Linked DNA regions of Mytilus edulis. The protein of the gene in region 1 purifies or fractionates together with the protein of each later gene. This does not show direct contact. Links are inferred from orthologs where the notes say so. Each region holds a gene or a part of one and is shown on either strand. Other genes may lie near its edges.

Region 1 (11,083 bases):
ACTTGTATTATTGTGACATTTGTAGCACCAGAGCACCTGAGATCACCACCAGTTTTTGGTAGAATTTGTGTCGCTTTATCTTTCTATGTTGTGTCTTGTATGCATTAAATTGTATGTCTTTTTCATTTTTAGCCATGGCGTCGTCAGTTTATATTCAATCTATGAGTTTGACTGTCCCTTTGGTATCTTTCGTCCCTATATATCTCACGAGCCCAACTTCTCTGGCTTATGAAGAGGTAATGTCCAATATTTTTTAATAGTATTTACTGTGCAGCAGTGCTCTATACAGTTTAAAGTCCAAATTAAGGGGGTAGACTTTGATTCAGGGAGATAACTCTTTAAATCAGTTAAGCGTTTGTAAAAGTCAAGTTCATCAATGTATTTTAAGCATTTACCTGAAACAGATTGAAAATAATCTATGTAACCTAGAAGCTTAGAATATATTTTTGAAAATGGTTGACAAAAACGTACTGATGATTTTAAGAGTTATTTCCCTTGACCTAGGTCTACCTCCTTAACATACACAAAAAAACACATACACATTTTTAACATTTAATTCCTTTTGGTTGTTTAAATTGAAGAATTAATTTCAAATGTATCAGTACATTCTATTTATAGTAAATGCATCTATGTCAGTTGCAAGGCAACAGTGTTCATAATACACTGTGTGTGAATAACCCAACATTGATCTGAAATTTACTTTCAATAATGAATTTCCCTAGAAGACAATAAGGGCTTTTAAAAAAAAATTTTTTAGGAGGATAGGAAATTTCTTTCCAAATATCCTACATCCAAGAACATTTTTAGATAATTTTGCATAATGCTAAAAGACGCATGCTGACAAAAGATCCATGCCCCACATTCAATAATTAAACTTCCCTTCCTACCCTGTCACATACATTTTAATGGAATAGCCCTTATAAAAGATTTGAAACTTTCACCTGATTTCTATAGAAATTGAATCCAATTTAATCAGTGGAAGGCCATGACAGAAATACCATGACACCTACCTTGAATACTTGGTCGACTGTGAGACAACAATAGATTAGCGGAGTAACCTTTACAATGTCTGTGTAACACATCAAGTGCTGCAATCAGGAATTCATGAGCATCCTGCTGCTCATATCCTGCCAAGTGACGAGCATTGGTCCACACCAGGTGTAAAAGTCGAAATGGAATATGTGGAGCCCTGGCTCCAGAGTAAAACTAAGAATGTAAAAAAAACATAATTTTTTTATATTGAATTATTCAAATTGAAATTATGAAAAAAAAAGTTACATCACATCTTCAAATGTCTCACAAATTACATTTGTTTGGAATTGTTCCTTCATAAATATCTTCAATTACAAGCATTTTTTGAGACATGGTTTCTACTTGAATTGTGTTAAAAGACTACTTTGTTAAAATCAGAATTTGACTTATGTATAAAGAGTTAAAAAAAAAATAAGCATTTTAAGGTAACATCACTTACTTCTTGAAAAAGTCTGGACATTTCACAAACAAGGCACTGCCGAGCTTCGTCGTCTTTCATTTCACAAACATGCTTATCAGCTAAAAAATAGTCTCTCAAAACGGGTGTGTGAATCAATGCCTGTACAATGCAGTTCATAAAACAAGTGTTTCCTAAATTAATCAATCCTCGCAGACCTGAAACAGATAACAAACAGATTAATTTGGCGTAACAGCATTTATTTAGAAAAGTGATAAAAAAAATTGTAAATGCAATTCCTATTTTGTAAATAAATAGTGTTTTGCATGGTAACCCTTTTTATTTGTCTTTCTAATAAAGTCTCATCTTTGTATTTTTTCAAGTTCAAATATTTGTTTAATTCCATACTTTTAATTATACTATTGCCTTATATTTGATTGACTGATTATTATTGTTTACTTAATATTCAGACCCATTCTAAATTTGTACTAGTACAAGTGGTCGTATTTTCTGGACTTTGCAGATAAGTTATATTAATGACTTGTTGCGTCAAACCTAAAACAGACATTTAACTTGGGTTGCCATTCTAACATAATTCAGTTGAAAAAAATATGTTTTGCTATCTTTTTGACCTGACCTTTTGCCTAAAATATTTTTTGGATGCCCTGGATGGATGGGTACCATATATTCATTATGCTGTTGATTTGAATTTGTTAATTTTGCAGTAATGTACCTATTGTTGATGTAGTTTCTACTTTCCTTCTTTTAGGATTCTGTAATAGAATTTCCTTCTCAATATCAGTAGGTTCCCATCGTATAAACTGTTGTTTTAATCCTGAAATAAATAAAAGTGATAAAATTGGTGAATCAGCTGTACCCTTGCAAAAATATGCAAGTGTTGCAGTTTACACATACAAACTTCATAAATCTGATCACTCAAAGGAACTCTTAACCCAACAAAAATGTTTTTGTTTAGAATATCAGGATTCAGACTTCTATTACATTTGTACTTAATTTCAAAATATTTTAAAATGTATTACTATTACTGAAAGTTTAAACTGTTTTTTTTGTTATTTTTTTAAGTGTTGTCAATCAAACCATGTGTAAACTGACCCACTAGTTTGAAAAAAAGATTATTGTATAAAAAAACAGATAATGTAAAGATTTTGCAAGCAATAAAATCAAATGTTGGAGATCGTTCATGAAGAAAACTATGAACCAGATGAATATAGAAAACTACATTGATGATGTATATCTGACTTTGTGTACCTTGAGCCTTTGCAGATTTTTGATGTTGTGAGGTAGAAATTGTTTCTAATTCTGGGTCGTACATGTAATCATTACAGGCAAAACAGAATACTGTTCCATAACTTAAATCCATAGCTGAAAAAAAAAGTTGTTATTTTATAATCACAGATATATTATACTCTTTATATAAATCTCTCCTTAAATTGATTAACAAAAGAATCACAATCACATTATTCTTTCACGATTCAGATTAAAATACTTGGGTTTATGTGTTGACAGTTACATGTTAGTGTTAATATGTCAACCTGTTATGTATGTGTTTCTAGTGGTCCATTTTCGTTTAAACTACACCTCTTTTTTTATTTACAGGTAAATTGTTCAATTGCTTTTAAAGAGACTTTTAAACTTGCCTAAAACATGTAAAATAATACTTGTAAGAACTAATCTTTTACCATTTATGCATAATGTATTTACCCAGATGGTGGCCCTTCCTTTCAGCATGTCCATGAATATGCCTGTCATTATAGCATCCAAAATAAACACAGTGTAAGCAGGCATGAAGCCTAAGTGCATATTTCTGACATGTATGACATCTATTGGAAGCAGCCTAAAGTTATAAAAAAAAATAATCACACTTTGGGTTACCCCTGAAACAAATCTAAGCATTACATAATGCTGATATTCTAATATTTAAAATATAGTCATGATAGTGTGAAAATAAAAATAATGTGTAAAACATGAGGGTCAGGTTCTCAATTATATCAGCGTTTTTATGAGGAAATATTTATATGAATAATGAATGAAGTACTAAACTTTTACTGTATTCCATTTTTGTAATTGCTATTTGGCATGGCTTAGTATTTATTAATCCCGGCCATTGTGTTTTTGTTTTATTATATGGTCATTTTTTTGTATTCTGTGCTTTGTCTTATGACATTTTTTTGTTTTTGTTGACGTATATTGTTTGTTTGATTGTGATAAAAGTAATACAATACAATTTTTACTGTTGTACACCTATTCTTGACTTCTATACCTATCATTATTAATAATGTCTGTGTTTTGTTTACACATTGTTGTCAAGATACATACATAATGGATTTTTTTTTTGACTGTCAAACAAGTGAGGGGTTTATATTAGCTAGCTAAAAAAACACACTTAATACACCATTTTCAACACAAGGAAATGCCTGTACCAAGTCAGGAATTAGACAGTTGATTTGGTTTGACTTGTTAGAGCTTTTGATTTTGCGATTTGATGATGGGGGTTTCTGAATTTTCCTAGTAGAAGTTCAATATTTTTATTATTTTACTTTTTATAAAAATACAATTAACAATAGCAGGCTGATTATTTGGAGCTTTGTTGTAGTAACTGTGAGCATTTTCTTTTATTCTATAATTTTGTTTTCTGTTTTGTTTGTGTCTGTGTTATTGTTAACATTTCTATTAATATATACACTGATCTCAAGATGTTTTTTTTTATCAATGAGTTGTAACACTGTATGACCTAGAGTAAATCTGTGTAATTCACCGTATTGTGAAAGTGATTCTTACAGTGATGCCAACAAGAAAGCATCAAGATAGGAAATGTTCATGGAAAGTTACAGTGTCTGAAATCGAAAGTGGTCTATTTTACTTTTGGAGCATTGCGTTCTATTCATTTACTAATTTTTGTCATATAATGTTATTTAACCGTATTAATGCCCTTTAACTTCAGTCGTCAAACAGTCATTTTCGGTTACCGTAGCAACAAATTGATTTACATTTTACCATGATTCATCAAAATATCCTGATCGTGATACTTCAAATTTTTCTGATTCGTCCAGGTTTGTAATAATAATTATCTTTACCGCTATTTTTGGAAAACAATTATCTTGATTCGTCAAAATCAGTTGATTTTTGTCGACCAAAAGAAAGTGTACAATATATCATCATGTACCAAAATTTACGGTTAACATCATTTAGCAGAAATTTTTGTCATTATTCTTCATGAAGGTACCCCCATTATAACCCTCATATTTTAACATTTTGCAGAAACTTATCAATATGTTTTGGAGAAATCAAAAATATTGTTTAACACCAACTAGCTTAGAAAAAAATTAAATAAACAACAGAAATGAAAGACCCCATCCATCCATTTAACATTTTCAGAAGAATAGCCTTTATTGTATAAAACCATATTATTCCTTTTTATGAAAGATGATTCGATTCAGTTGTTGTAGGTATGGGGAGATTTTTTTGCAGGATATAATTTATAAATGATCTCATTTCAGTCGATGGGGGATATAATTTTTTAGTCACCTTTCGTCGCCTGGCTTCAGCCGACGGGCAAGCTACGAAATATGCATGGATTAATCGATATGCATTTGTTCCATGAATTGATTTATAGTCATTTAAATGTTCACAAATCGACATAGTCGACCAACACCTATTTCATTTTCATTTGTTTCCTTGCACAAAACAACAAAGATTGGTGCGCAGTCTTCCTTGTTTTAGTAATCATTTGCGCATACCGTTTGAAATTTCCGCTTCCGTTTCATCCCATGTGCAAGGTACAAAATGTAAACAATACATTCTTTCTGTGAAAAAGCAGTGTTGATCCACATAAACCATGCTTTTTTAATAGTTTTTGTCTTTAATTTATCCGTTGATTTGAATAACATAATGTTGCAATCTTGCTTCAATTTTGGAAAGGACAAAATCGTACTGATAAATTATTATTTGACAGCAACTTGACAACACAAAAATAACATACTCAGTATTTTGTAAACTATGAGCCTATGTAGCCATTACCTTTTAAGAAAATGTGCTTTGATCAATTTGGTAGTTGATAGTATATGAAAAAAGCACTTCAAAATTCATAAACCTCAGGAATCAGAAATTCTATCAGTATCAATAATAAGGTATCTAGCCATCTCAAAGATTGTCCAGCAACAATGAAGCCTGAGATGCCCATATTTCTTATGAAATTTTCCGATATCTGTGAATAAACCAAACATAGATTTTTAATGACTTTTAGCATTGTGACTTAAAAAGTGGGGAGTCCTAATGTGCGTTAATTTGAAAGTCTACTAGAAGCGTATGATATCCAATTTCTTTATACCTACATTGCACTGTTAAATATCCTCTTCATCCCTTGTTAGAAATCAGGTCACAGCAATTTCATTTTTTTCTTTATGACATATACAATTAAAATTGTCAACTTTTTTCTAATTACATGTATGGGTGGGGTATTGGACCTTTATCCGGACTCCGGGATTGGGTGTTTTTAAGCTCGGGATTTCCGGATTGACCCTTTCGGGATCCGGGATTTCTTTTTTTCGAATTTCGGGACCTCAGGATTTCGTATTCTTAAGCCCGGGATTTCGGAATTTCGTGTTTTTAAGCCCAGGATTTCGGGATCAGGACCCCTCCTAACCCCCCCCCCCCCTAATGTATTTCCCAGTACTCAATCACAGTACTAATTCACTAAGGATTATTTCCTGCAATAAAGGGAACATTAAAATAACTTTGTAATTTTTTTAAATTTTGACAGATTTGTGATACGTTGTATTTAAAAGGCAAGATGCTTAGAAAATGGTGATGGCGTAATAATGTAAAAGATCAAATAAGTTTTCATGCAACCAAATTTGAAGTGTAAGTAATTGTTTTTATTTTTTATATTTTTTATTATGAGCATCCATGTATTCATGATTAGAATCCATGATAAAAGTAAAACATTATCATGAAAATGATGATTTTGAAAATGACTTATAGGCTCAAAGTGTTGGGTGTATTTTATTGTTTCTATAACATATATATATATATATATTTGTTTTTTGTTAAACTGCTATTAGATACGTGCACATGCATGTCACTATAATAAGAAAAATGTTTTTTGATATAAACAAATGATGAATTAAAGGAACCATGAAGTACCTCTTTATGAGACAGAAACCCAACAGCATAGAAAAACTAAGAGTTATGTACAATTTATAAATAAGATGTTATATGAATGCCAAAGAGACAACTTTCCAACAGAGTTCAAATGATGAGGCCATAATCAATTATTTCTCACAGTATGACCTTCAACAATGAGAAAACCCATACTGTATAGTGAGCTTTCAATGGCTATGACAAGATAAAGAAGAGGCGAAAGATACCAGAGGGACATTTAAACTCAGAAGTAAAAAATGAACTGAGAACCACATGGCTAAAAAAGAAAAAGACCAACAGACTAACAAAAGGACACTAATTACATCCTAGAAATTCTGTGTTTTAATTCAACTTTGGTACAATTAATTGCTTTAAATCATGTAAATTGTGTTTCACAGTTGAACATCTATTTATCTAAATGTAGCAAGAGATAAAAAAAAACCATTATGATGAGAAGTACAAAATTCTTTTATGTTCGGATTCAGTGAGAAGAAAACACCTTTAGGTTCAGATGTGTCCCAAAATATGTCAACATCCATGCAATGTATAGTTTGCTATGACATGAAGAAAAGGAAAAATCTTGAATTTTCTAATAAATGCTTCCATTATGATGACTTATCCAAAATATTGTATTCTTTGCAAAAGGTTCATTGAATGTTCTGAAATTAAACTGTTATTGTAAAAACATCTTAATCTTGGGCATTTGATTATTTGATGACATCCTTAAGGTGTACATAACACTACAGGGAGATAACTCAGTAAAAATCAGCTGAACATTTTAATCACTATCCATTGGTAAGGATGTATAAGGCTTCTCAATGATAAAAATTAGTGTTTGTCAAACTGCTTTATATATCCAATGAAGTGTGTGGTACAAGTTTTTTGAAATTTTTTATATTTTTGTCAAATGGTCAATGTTTATATTTTGTTAAAATTTTATGAAAATTAAAAGAAGCGCATAAATTTTAGTCGAGGTGTTTTGTACCACCTGAATTTTAATACATTATAATTTGTGAATAAAATATTCAACATTTATATCTATACAATCAAAGTGTTATTTAACATTACTCTAATCTTGACACTTTTTTATCCTTTTCTATTTTTTAGCTTATTATAAAATAATGTCACTGAATACTATAGGGAGCTACATAGGATTTCCTTTGGGATTTCTGGTATTTTTGTACATGATGATGTCATACAAGAAAAAGAAGAACATCCAGGGAAAAGTTGTCCTAATTACAGGAGCAAACTCAGGTCTTGGGAAAGGTAATTATTTTACTGTAAAATATCAGATCATTTTAACACAGCTTCTTGGTCTTTAAAATGATAAACAAAAGTTCAAGAGTTATCTCCCATTCTTATGTTGCAAGTTCAACAAAATATTTTTGGTCTGAATTTTAAGGCTTTAAAAACTTTTATGTTAATATTTTTCCTGAAATAGGATAAGACCCTTAAAATAATATATATATATATATATATATATATTGCAACAACCATTGACAACACAAATAAAAGGGAAAATCTAAACTTTTCAAAAGATTATAGTAATGTTTTCAAGTCCTTGACTTTTACTATTCATATTTTTAAATGTAGAGAAGCTAGAATTCATATACAATAAGTTTTTGGGTAAAGAGCTAAAATTAAGTTAAGATAAAATTGCAACATTTTATTACTTTTTGATAAGGAAAAAATAGTAGATTTTGGGGTTAGAACTATAATTATGAATTTAAAAGAAATAAAGAAAATGTAAATACAAAATTAAACCCTGGTATCTATGATGAGTTTATTTCAATTTTTTTTTACTTTATATTGAAAATAAATGTTTTGGAATGGAAATGAATATTAACATAGACACATCAGAAATATTAAAGAAATTCTAGCTAAATACAATAATTTCAAACTAATAAAAGGATATTAGAGATTTATTTAATTCCATATCATTTTAAATAATTTATTAGTTGATATGAACTATATGAACTTTTCAATTGAACAATTAATTAAACTTAATACTTGTAATGGACTAAAATGTGAAAATTGCTTTAGGAATTATATAAAAATTGTTATCCAATCACATATGTAGTGCATTTTTCCACAACTCTAAAAAAAAAATCAAGAAAATCCATAACATAGGGTAGCAAGAATTCCAATGAGTTGTCAACAGAACTAACACCTGAACAATATATAAAGAAGGGTGCAATATTATAACCAAGAAAAATATGATGAACAACTGGACAAAATAAACTACATGTATTGTAATCTAAAACAAGAAATAAAGTTTCAAGAAATTCCATCAAATAATATGGGAGGATGTATTACAGCACACACAACTATAGAAATATTGAAAAATGCATCAAAGTCCAAAGAGTCTTTCAAAGTTTTATTTTAAGAGAAGATCATATTGGTTCAAACAGTAACAGCAAAAAATAATTTTCAACAATTTGACAAACATGCATTTGATGGGAGAGATGCGTCCTTTTGCGCCACAACTTTTTTCTCCAATGCTACGTTCGCGCCACATGTTTTAAAATTACATGGTATCATATGCGCCAAAAACAAAACATACAATTGTGCCAATTAGAAGAAAAATTACTTCCCTACTCCTATATTCGGACTTGGAACCTGCAGTTTACACTAAAAATGTTTCCTTTTCTGAAACATATCTTATTCTTACTGCTGCTGCATGGATACTTCCACATTAAATGTATGTAGTAGCTTTTAACTTGACTTTAATATCCAAAAACACAGACATTGAAGGTTGAAATGCATAAAACAGTTTATAATAATTCTTATAATAATAAATCCCATATGTATGGTAGGAACAAAGAACTGTGTCATCAACATATGTATCTAAAACATAATCAGCAAAAGCTTCTATTTTCTTCTCTTTATGTATATCTTTATTAAATATTCAGCAAAGCAATACGTTTTATTCTCTCTGTACATTGACTGTCTAATGCATTTGAATTCATTTCTTACATTTGGAAAACAAAAATTGGCGCAAATGATACCCCTGAAAAACAGTAATTGGCGCAAAAGGATTACTGACCATTTGATTAAGCTACCTGGAATTTACCTATCTGTTAATTAATGTGACTGTTTTGATAAGCATGCACTTTTGTTGTGATAACTACTACAAATTTAGTACCTATTCCTCGAATGCCAACATAATTTTTCAGGTAAATTGTCGGTAGATCAGAAGATGATGGCATTCAAGGAATAAACCAAATTAATATAGATTTAAAATTCAATTTAAAAAATAGAACTCACCATTCTGGTTTTCAAGATATATTGGGTTTAAAACTTAATACATTTTAATTGTATGCAGAGCAACTCTCTCTTGCCAAATTAGATAAAAATAAATCTATTAAATAATGTTTTTTTTATGGAAATTATTTAGATTGAGGAATTTTAGAAAAAAGAAAAAGGAAATACTTTATATTCTCAATTTTTTGGTAGTTTCAAATAACTAAGTGTTAATTTTGAGTTGCATGTATATGCAGTTATATATCAGGTTTAATTATCTCCCTTGATGAGAACACATTTTGTGCAAAAGATATCTTTCTTGTCAAAACCAACTAAATGGTGGGCAGGCTAAGAATGCAAGTCTAATTGATGTTTCGATTTTGAATGAAACTGGAAGAATAGAAAGGAAAAAAAATGAATTTGTGCTTTTTTTGAAAGTGGTATGAAATTCTCAGATTTGCTTTAACCAAATTAGTTTTGAAACATTCATTATACTGACTGATAAAAAAGTAATAAATCCAAATGGCTAGTTTGCCTTTCATTTTTTGTTTAAATCGCAGTGAATTTTATACTGATAGAAAAAAAAATGTGTATCTTAGGGAATACTTTAATTGATAAATACATTTTATGTTTTTAAGCATGTGCCAAAGCTTTTCATCAAGCAAAATGTCGAGTTTTATTATGTGGAAGGAACAAGGAAGCTTTACGAGCTCTCACAGAAGAATTGGCAAATGCTAAGGTAACAATTTTTCTTGAAGTGTTTTTGTCAAGCCTTCAACTTTAGTCGAAAAAGCAAGACTAAGCGATCCTACATTCCACCGTTGGCGGCGGCAGAGGCATCCACAAATATTCACTCTGTGGTTAAAATTTTTAAAATTTTAATAACTTTCTTAGACTATCCTGGGTTAGTACCAAACTTGGACAGAAGCTTGTTTATGATCATAAGATAGTATCCAGAAGTAAATTTTGTAAAAATAAAATTCCATTTTTTACGTATTTTACTTTTAAATGGACTTAGATTTTCTACCAGGAAACAACACATTCACTCTGTAGTTAAGCTTTTTAAATTTAACTTTCTTATACTATTTTGGATTTGTACCAAACTTGGACAGAAGCTTGTTTATAATCAAAAGCTAGTATCTAGAAGGAAATTTAGTTTTCTTCCAGTTAACATTACATTTAGTCTGCAGTTAAAAGTTTTTAAACAGTATGAGATTCATAAACTATCCTGGATTTTTACCAAACTTGGAC
Region 2 (11,042 bases), on another chromosome or scaffold:
GTCACAGTTAGAAAAAGTCTGATTGTCTGTTGATGCAATAATTCAAAATATCATAATGCGGGAATTAGTTAGAACTAGGCTTGAAAGAGTAGTCGCTTGCTGAATGTGCAACTACATATATGCATTGTACAATCTTTACATGTCAATTACACAGGGGTAATAGTGGTCGCAACATTAGTAACCTTAATCATATTTTTATAGTTGAAAATAAAAGCTAACATTAGTTTCAATAGTTTATACATGTTAATATAAAGAAACTTACCTAATGTGTGTCCACAACTCCTGCATGGATCTGTCAGACTGGCCAGAGGTTGTGACACATCCACTCTTGGTGGGGTTGGTGGTGGATTGGGGTTCTTCCAGCCATTACATTTACAGGATTCAGACTGCAAATAAAACCATATTTATACAAAAGTGCACATGCTGAAATGTCTTGCCTTCTTTACTAACAATTCTTTGTGTACAGTAAACCAAAAACAGTCCAAAACACAAACCAGATGCTCCGCAGGGCGTAGCTTTATACGACCGCAGAGGTTGAACCCTGAACGGTTGGGGCAAGTATGGACACAACATTCAAGCTGGATTCAGCTCTAAATTTGGATTGTGATTAAATAGTTGACACAGCATAGGTTTCTGACACAGAATGAATGTGTTCTAATGAACTTAAAATTTTTGTTTTCTCTTAGAGCAATTCACTATGCTGTTGAATATTAATCCTCTCAAAACAAGAATGTGTCCTCAGTACACGAATGCCCCACTCGCACTATCATTTTCCATGTTCAGTGGACCGTGAAATTGGGGTAAAAACTCTAATTTGGCATTAAAATTAGAAAGATCATATCATAGGGGACATGTGTACTAAGTTTGAAGTCGATTGGACTTAAACTTCATCAAAAACTACCTTGACCAAAAACTTTAACCTGAAGCGGGACAGACGGACGGACGAACGGACGGACGAACGGACAGACGGACGGACGGACGCACAGACCAGAAAACATAAAAATGTTTGAAGAAATTTTCTTTTTTATTTATGAAATTTCAAATGAGAAAAATTGAACCCAATTTTTTTAATCACATCCCCCTTTCCCTTATTCCAAAACTAATCTCAATTAATATTTCTAATGGAGTTTGCAACAATAACTACTCATTTAAATACATCATAAAATATTAAGATGTAAAAAAAACTGCTTGTTATCACTGAATGTTATTTATTATAATTTATCAGTTGGTAGTAAAAAGTGAATATACATTGTATATTGTATATAACAAAGATTTAAGTTGATTCTGGACAAAGAAAGATAACTCCAATTAAAAAAAAATCTTGCTATTGCACAATATTTTGCAATTAGATATTTCTTGCTTACTATTCTGGACAAAGAAAGATAACTCTAATTAAAAAAAAATTTGCTATTTCACAATATTGTGCAATTAGATATTTCTTGCCATTGCGCAATACTGTGCAATTGAAAAGACTTGCTATTGCACAACACTTAATATAATAATTTTAGATCCTGATTTGGACCAACTTGAAAACTGGGCCCATAATAAAAAATCTAAGTACATTTTTGGATTCAGCATATCAAAGAACCCCAAGATTTCAATTTTTGTTGAAATCAGACTAAGTTTAATTTTGGACCCTTTGGACTTTAGTGTAGACCAATTTGAAAACAGGACCAAAAATGAAGAATCTACATACACAGTTAGATTTGGTATATTAAAGAACCCCATTTATTCAATTTTTGATGAAATCAAACAAAGTTTAATTTTGGACCCCGATTTGGACCAACTTGAAAACTGGGCCAATAATCAAGAATCTAAGTACATTTTTAGATTCAGCATATCAAAGAACCTAACTGATTCATTTTTTGTCAAAATCAAACTAAGTTTAATTTTGGACCCTTTGGACCTTAATGTAGACCAATTTGAAAACGGGACCAAAAGTTAAGAATCTACATACACAGTCATGACAGTTAGATTCGGCATATCAAAGAACCCCAATTATTCAATTTTGATGAAATCAAACAAAGTTTAATTTTGGACCCTTTGGGCCCCTTATTCTGTTGGGACCAAAACTCCCAAAATCAATACCAACCTTCCTTTTATGGTCATAAACCTTGTGTTTAAATTTCATAGATTTCTATTTACTTATACTAACGTTATGGTGCGAAAACCAAGAAAAATGCTTATTTGGGTCCCTTTTTGGCCCCTAATTCCTAAACTGTTGGGACCTAAACTCCCAAAATCAATACCAACCTTCCTTTTGTAGTCATTAACATTGTGTTTAAATTTCATTGATTTCTATTTACTTAAACTAAAGTTATTGTGCGAAAACCAAGAATAATGCTTATTTGGGCCCTTTTTTGGCCCCTAATTCCTAAACTGTTGAAACCTAAACTCCCAAAATCAATCCCAACCGTTCTTTTGTGGTCATAAACCTTGTGTCAAAATTTCATAGATTTCTATAAACTTAAACTAAAGTTATAGTGCGAAAACCAAGAAAATGCTTATTTGGGCCCTTTTTGGCCCCCAATTCCTAAAATGTTGGGACCAAAACTCCCAAAATCAATACCAACCTTCCTTTTGTGGTCATAAACCTTGTGTCAAAATTTCATAGATTTCCATTCACTTTTACTAAAGTTAGAGTGCGAAAACTGAAAGTATTCGGACGCCGGACGACGACGCCGACGCCGACGCCAACGTGATAGCAATATACGACGAAAAATTTTTCAAATTTTGCGGTCGTATAAAAATTAACTATAACCACTGAACCATGAAAATGAGTTCAAGGTCAGATGAAACCTGCCAGTTGGACAGTACAATGTACATGTACACCTTACAATTCTTCCCTACACCAAATATAAAAGACCTATTGCTTTTAGTATCTGAGATATGGACTTGACCCCAAAATCTTAACATTGTTCACTGATCCATGAAATAAGTCAAGATTAAAATTACATAGCTAGTTTATCAATGATCAATTTTTTTGCTTTGAGTTGACATAACTTGATGATAAGTATTATTTGTTTAGGAAATACAAAATTTGATAATAATGGGACAAAGTCAACTATTACATTAGAAAAATTAAAAAAAAAAATCCTGAAAAAAACTCTTGCTTCTTATGAACTCAAAAGCATTAACTTTTTTTTCAGACTTTTTTTATTTTCATCTCATTTGTCATGAGACTTTGAGTAAATTATATGTTTATCAGTCTAGTAAAATATAGGAATGATCAAAATACCAATTTCATTTTCAATAATTCTTTGATATGAGAAATTTTTTCCTGATGCTTGTGTTTCTTTTTTTTTACATTGAATATATGACGTCATCACTTAAATAACGTCACAACTAAAATGTAAAACAACAGAACCAAATCGGAAACGTTATGGTATTTCCATTTCTTTTTAATAGATTTTAAAATAAAATATGTTTGAATTAAAAAAAATAATTCATACAGACTTCGTCCCCTTTCAAAGGTTATGCCTGCCTCATGTTAAATAATGTTTGCTATAAGCATAATAAGGGTCCTTTTTGCTAGTGGGCGTCATATATAATATCTATATACTTTATATAGAATTTGTTTCATGCAGTGTTTTCCCTAGGCTATTCATGCATTGCGATCTGATTTTAAAACCACGTTGATTAGATGGAACAACATTTAAGACTTCGATTACATAATAGAAATCGGGAGTTCAAATTGTTTTAATGACCTCACAGCTTCCAAATAGCCTTCCGTTGAACATAAAAAGTAAACCTTTTGCAGTATAAATTTCTACGTTTTGAAATTAGTACGACATGACATGGCCGATACATCATATGGACAACAATTCTTGCATCTTGCCTATATTTGCCATCGCAATCAGCATGAATGATCAGAGAGAAATTATATTAGTAACAAATGAAATAATCATAAATAGAGAAAAATGCACAGGCACTTGTTTCTATTCATTGGAAGACCCACTATCAACGTTTATCGTAAATATACATTGATAGTGGGTCTTCCAATGTGCCTGTGGAAAAATGGCCCAAAAAGCAATACACCTTATCGCGTTTTGTCTGCCATTACTGGATATAACACAGGTTCCTGTAAAATTTTGAGGTCATAAAACAAAATATCTGATGCTACAATGGAAAAGTGATTGTGTACGACGTCAAAAATTCAAGCGGCCAGGTCAGCCATGGTTAGCAATAAGCATTAAGCATAAAAGATTTATTTAAAGTCGGTTATACATTTGTACATACAATGTATAACAATACAACAAACGCTCTGTAGAGCTTTTATCAGACATAAGGTGTATAGAGATGTAGGACCCTAAATCCAAACCCTCATTTAATCTATATATTTTGACATTCCGTCCCAATCGGTATACATGAAGCATTGAATTTAAAAATCATAAACGGACCTTGCAAGACGAATAAACAGCTAGCTTTTCCAATTTTTTGTTCCTGGGGTATCCCCGAACCATAGCTTTCTTTTGTGCAATTCTTTGTAGATTGTTCGGTCTAGACATTTCGCCTGTCGTAGACTGTGTAGGACCTTTATTTGTTTGCTGTAAATCTGTTCCATTTTGAAGTGGATCGCTAGAATTTGCGTCACTCATTGTTTTATTTGTTTCATTTTTTTATGCAAACGCTTGTAACATTGAAAATAAGTAGTACTGTGCAGCTTCACATCACTATCCATGACAACAAACTAACAGAAACATAAAAGATCTAACCAAACACAACTAAATATTTTTTACAGTAACGCACCACAATTTTCTGAAATGAAGTAATTTTGGTGTTGATAATACCAGAGACATATTATACAAAAAAAAATCCATAAGTTGGCCATATTATCAGCAATCTATAACATTAGTATATGACTCTTATTATTTTCCAGATATGTTTCTTCTATTTGAATATTTTTTCTAGATTTGAAAAGTTCTTTGAATTTATTTTTTTCGCGGGACTCCCTGGCCAAAATTTATTTGCATGAGCCTTTTGCCTGACCGGGATTAATTTGACATGTGCTTCAGCAAAAATGACCTTGTAGTTTTGGTCATTGAAAACTCGGGAACCGTAACGATTGTGCGATCAAATTTTGATTTAATGTAGATAAATATCATAGGTTGAGCGTCCATAACCTTTTATTTTCTTTCAAAAACCGTTTCAGTTTTTCTTTTCTTGGCAAAAATACATGTAAATAGAGACTGTCATTCACGTAGATTTCGGCCGCCATTTGTTAATGGTTTCGAAAGAAGAAAGATAACTCAGGCTCGATAACGGACAATAACTCTTCAAGACAAGTTGTATAATACCCCCAACGTTGATGTGCGATAATGAACTAATTAAGATTATTTTTTAACTGCAATAATAATAGATGGGACTTCTTTACTTTATGACTTAACCCCAGTAATGCCTTAATTCTTCCACATGTGAATTAGATAAAGCTTTCCAATTCTGAAAAAAATAATTTTCCCTTCCCTTCTAAAACAACTATATTTTTTCCCTTCCCTTCTTTGACAATTTAAAAAAAATGAGAAAGAAAACAATTTGTTATATACAAATATTCATCTTGGTATCTTTCAGGTTTTTTTACTCTCTGTCAACATAATTTACTTCTGCGCTTCATACAAAATGTACTTCGGTCAATGCTTTTACACCCCATAATAAAGTTACAAAAAGAAGCATTCATTTTGTTATAACAAAGAAGGTTTTTGTTTATATTGGTTTTGGTTGTCAGATAGGGCACATGCTACATTTAAGCTTGTCCTCATTATTTACGTTTTTATTAGTGACATGAATCTGTCTAGTACTATTTTTTTTATTTATAGCCCCTTACAACATTAAAATGTTCTAAATTTAGTATCAATATTCCATTAGCACGTGTTCATAGTGTTGACAGGTACTCTAATTCATTTAAAAGCTGAGAATGGCAGCAGATACACAGCAAACCCACAGACCTGGCGTTTTTAAACAACAAAATAAAGGACACAAACATGGCAAACATAGAAGCAAAGGTTCATTAGAAAGAGAAACAAAAGGTAAGAAGAAAAATGACCGTAAATTTATAAGCCCACCCCAGATAGCAATACTTTGTTGGGCCAACATTGGTGATTGGTTGGCACAGTTGGTAAATAGTTGGCGTTGGCAGCACAACAAGAAACCGATGTTGGCCCAACAAAACTCAGCCAACAGTTATTTTGACACTATTGGCCCCTTGTTGGCCCAACAAAACTCAGCCAACAGTTATTTTGACACTATTGGCCCCTTGTTGGCCCAACGACTTTCCACCAACTGTCATTTTGGTGTTATTGACCCAATGTTGGCCCAACATTTTCTTACCAACTGTTATTTTTAAAGTAGCTTGCCCAACGATATTTGACTTACGTTATCCATTGATTCAGTGTAAGATCTTCTGACTGAAACTACTGAACCAATTTTATTCGAACTTTATTTGAATGATTCTATGTTATCATAGAGACTATAGATTGTGTTTGAAGGGCATTGAGGACTTAGTAAAAAATTAAAATAATAAAGTCTTCCCAAATAGGACTATTTTAAACCGTCTGTGCCAAGAGCTAGAAATTTTTTAGTATTTTGAATAATTCAAAAGTTTTTAAAACAGTATATTTATAAAAAAAACCAACATATCATTGATATTTCATGACAATATTGAGATATGAGCCAACATGGTGCCAACAATATGCCAACGTATTAAGTTCTTATCTCCCCGTATTATACCACAGATTTTTTTATTTTTTTTTAGATATTATTTCAAAGTGCAAACCAAAAAATGTGCTCTTCATTCTCTTTATCTAATATTTTCAAATCTGTGTAGTCATTTAAATGTATTTATCTTAATGATTGAATAATTTTATGCACAAACAAAAAATACTTAAAACCAGCCCAAAAAAACAAATAAAATTTGAGTATAGTTTCTGCAAGTTGTTAAACTTGTCAACTGAACTCAGCTGCTCATTTGACACGAGTGTAACATCACACTCTCCACATGACAGCCGAGATTGACCTGCAAATATATTATACATTATATACAAGAGATAAATATTTCATAATACATAACATGAAATGCATAAATAACATGTTTGACAGACTGAAGCCATCGTTGGCATACTGCTGTTCGACCAACATTGGTCCAACATAATTTTAGAACCAGACGACGTTGGTAGACTGTTGGCAAATAGTTGACATTGTTGGCAGATTGTTGGCAAATAGTTAACCTTGTTGGCATACTGATGTTGGGCCAACAAAGACCCAACATGTTGGGCCAACTGAGGGCCGATGAGCAAAATGACGTTGGCCCAACACAGTTTTCCAACATTGGCCCAACAATGTTGCCAACAGAATGCCAATATTGGCCCAACACATGTTTGCTATCTGGGACCTTTGTGGATGGATAGAGCTACTAAGTCTGCAATTGTCAAGAAACGTAAATCATGGAAAAAATATAAATATTCAAGAAATAATTTGTCATATATCAAATATGTGAAGGATCGCAATGAATGTACAAATACTGTTAAAAATGCCAAACTTAGTTTTGAACAAAAAGTGGCCTTAGAATCAAAGACTAATGTAAAGTCGTTTTGGAATTATGTTAACAGTAAACTCAAGACTAGATCAGGAATAGGTACGCTTGAGAAACCGGATGGTACTTTAGCATCCAGTACTGCTGACAAAGTTGAAGTTTTAAATAAGTTTTTTACTAGTGTTTTTACTCAAACGGAGGACTTGAAAGATTATGATACTAATTCAGTGTCGAACAATTATTTAAATGATATTAATATTTGTCAGGAAGATGTGATAAAGAAACTTAATAAATTAAAGACAGATAAATCTGCAGGACCTGATGGTCTCCATCCGAAAGTTTTATATGAAGTTAGACATGCAATTTGTTATCCATTGTTTCTAATTTTTAATAAGTCTATCAAAGAGGGGAAAGTTCCAGACGATTGGAAAAATGCCATAGTATCACCGATATTTAAGAAAGGGAAAAAACTAAAACCTGGTAATTATAGACCTGTAAGCTTAACGTCAGTGGTATGTAAGATATGTGAATCCATTATTAGAGACAATATTATGAAGTTTATTCTTACAAACAATCTTTTTACTAGTAGTCAATATGGCTTCCGTCCTGGTAGATCATGTGTTACTCAACTCCTAGAGGTTCTGGATGAGTGGTCAGAATTAATTGATAGTGGTTTTCCACTGGACTCGATTTTCCTTGACTTTTCAAAGGCGTTTGATACTGTACCGCATCAGCGTTTATTTTTGAAACTTGAAAAACTTGGAATAAAGGGATGCATTTTAAATTGGATAAAAAGTTTTCTATCTGGGCGTAAGCAATGTGTTCGTATAAATAACACAACATCAACATGGTCAGACGTTGTGAGTGGTGTACCTCAGGGAAGTGTTTTAGGACCAGTTCTTTTCTTAACATTTATAAATGATCTTCCTGATGTAGTAGAGGGCATAGTGAAAATTTTTGCTGATGATTGTAAAGTTTATTCTAAAGTCTCGTCAGATTATGAGCAAAGTAAGTTACAGGAAAATTTGGACAGATTATGTGAATGGTCAGATATGTGGAAATTAAAATTTAATGCTGCTAAATGTAAAGTATTGCATATTAATCCTGACAATGACCTGAAATATCGTTATACCATGTTGGATGAATCTGGAAATTTTATTGCATTATCTACAGTGAATGAAGAAAAGGATCTTGGAGTAACTTTCGAGTCTAATTTGAAATTTGAAAAACATATAAGTGATATTTACAACAAAGCGCAGAGAGTGTTGTCTCTTATTCATCATTCTTTTGATTACATGGATCAAGATATGTTTCTTACTATTTATAAATCAATAGTGCGTCCGCTGCTTGAATATGCGACATGCGTCTGGTCACCGTATCTTAAAAAAGACATCCGTAAACTGGAATCTGTACAAAGGAGGGCCACAAAACTGGTGAAAAATATTTGTCATCTTAATTATGAAGACAGGCTACGTTCATTGGGTTTGCCAACTTTGGAATATCGTAGGGATAGGAATGACATGATACAAGTCTACAAATCGTTGCATGGTATAGATGACATCGACTGGATGAAGCTATTTACTTTAGCACCATCTAATAATACAAGAGGTCACTCATTAAAACTGTTTAAAAAACAGTGTAAGACCACACATAGACTAAATACTTTTTCAATTAGAGTAGTGGATCAGTGGAATAACCTGTCTGATTTAACAGTGACGGCAAAGACTCTAAATAATTTTAAGTCTGCACTAAATGGCGAAAACTGGAACCCTTATAAATTCATATGTTCGTGTTAATTAAGTGTTCAGCTGCGCACACCCAAATAAGTGTTTTTTATTATAAGTTTAATATATATTATATATATATATATATTAATTATGAGAAGAGAAATGCATATACGACAATCCAAGATGAGGGGTCAGTAGAAGCCTTTGGCTTATTTAACGACCCGAAGATAAAGGTATAAAGGTATAAAGGTATAAAGATCTCTTGACAGTCACAGTGACAGCCCACTATGCATCATATATTTGTTAAAAATTCTTATGTTAACCTTATTCAGACATAATTTTTTTTTATAGAAGTACAACAAATGTATCACTACAGATACAAAATGTCTGGTAATTATACTGACATGTATATTATATATATATGATATGGCATTAATAATTTTATAAAGAGTAATATATTTTAAAAAGGTTCTGTCTGTTTGAGAATGGAAATGATAAATATGTCAGAGACAACAACCTTATTAAAGGGCAGATACAATTTTGGTTGTATATTGGTATCTTTTATCTTTGTGGTCGTCAGCATCGTCCGAAGACAGATGGTTTCCAGATAATAACTTTAGTATAGGTAAATAGACATCAATAAAATTTTGACACAAGGTTTATAACCACTAAAAGAAGTTTGGGATTGATTTTGGGGGTTATGGTCCCAACTGTTTAGGAATTAGGGGCCCAAATAAGCATTTTTGTAGTTTCCAGACAACAACTTGTGTGTTAAAGTGTATGAATCTCTCTGAAATTATACCACAAGTTTTCATACTACAAAGGTGTGACTTTGGGGGGTTATGGCTCAAACCGTAGGGGGAAAACAAGGGTTTTTCTGGTTAATGGACAATTGAGACAATTTTAAAGCAGTGTAAGGGAGGTAATCCAAATGTAATTCAAACATAATATGTTGGATTACCTCCAAGACACTGCTTTAACATTATGTAGAAATATTGTATTTTCTTGAGGTGATTAGCTGTTAATTTGCTTTAAGAAGTTACTATTAAATTTATGCTGATTAACATGATTAAGGAATATTAATTTTCTATTTAAGACTTTTATGATGTATTTAAATGGGTAATTATTATGGTTGCATCTTCAATGAAAATTTGAATGGAAATTATGACCATATCTTGAGGGAAAGAATATTTTAATGGAAAAAGGGTGGAGGACTTGAAAAAAACATTTGGAGAGAGGTGACTACAGTAATTCTGTGTCAGAAAGCTAATATTTGTCAAATATTTAATTACAATTCAAACTCAAACCTGAATCAAGCATGAATATTGTGTCAGGGGTGTGGAAATGCTATGCCCGACTCGCCCGACTCGTACATTTGAACACCCTGACTAGTAATTATTTGTGTCTGGGTTGCCCGTGGACAAGTAAAAAATTATAAAAGACAAAGTTCAAATCCAACAAAAATATAGAATGAATTCAAAATGTATAAAGATGTTTAATTTGTGTAAAAGAAATCAATGGTCAGCGAGTAAAGACAATGTTCATGAAGATAAATATTACATAATACCGGAAATAGATCGATTAACAAAATATATAAAAATAAGTATGCAAACCCGAGTCGCGTAACATTGCATTGGTTTTGTCCTTTGACCCGGGATCGTCGATTAGGTTTTATCAATCATGAGCGGAAGTGTCATTTTATATGATTTTGTATTGAGATTCAGATTGATAAATACTTAAAACAGGGGACAAAAAGAGTTATGAGTAGAGTAAAAAAATGAAAAAGCAAA

Evidence for each region.
Region 2: the proteins of ubiquitin carboxyl-terminal hydrolase 22-like (region 1) and histone acetyltransferase KAT2A-like purify together in Drosophila melanogaster (affinity purification with western blotting, with the first as the bait; 3 studies listed by BioGRID). This does not show direct contact. The link is inferred for Mytilus edulis from reciprocal best matches to the Drosophila melanogaster genes not and Gcn5.

Annotation. Positions count from the first base shown.
Region 1 is NC_092352.1:75,862,081-75,873,163, reverse strand, and holds the start of ubiquitin carboxyl-terminal hydrolase 22-like, read right to left. Parts: upstream 5,180-11,083; 5' UTR 5,090-5,179; coding exon 4,976-5,089; intron 3,285-4,975; coding exon 3,152-3,284; intron 2,813-3,151; coding exon 2,699-2,812; intron 2,265-2,698; coding exon 2,163-2,264; intron 1,648-2,162; coding exon 1,472-1,647; intron 1,207-1,471; coding exon 1,011-1,206; intron 1-1,010. Other genes in the region: dehydrogenase/reductase SDR family member 7B-like, read left to right, coding at 6,292-6,310, 7,697-7,855, 10,471-10,571. UniProt on the Drosophila melanogaster protein: Histone deubiquitinating component of the transcription regulatory histone acetylation (HAT) complex SAGA. Catalyzes the deubiquitination of histone H2B, thereby acting as a coactivator in a large subset of genes.
Region 2 is NC_092344.1:36,816,832-36,827,873, forward strand, and holds the start of histone acetyltransferase KAT2A-like, read right to left. Parts: upstream 4,657-11,042; 5' UTR 4,599-4,656; coding exon 4,401-4,598; intron 387-4,400; coding exon 263-386; intron 1-262. Other genes in the region: pre-rRNA-processing protein TSR1 homolog, read left to right, coding at 5,912-6,023.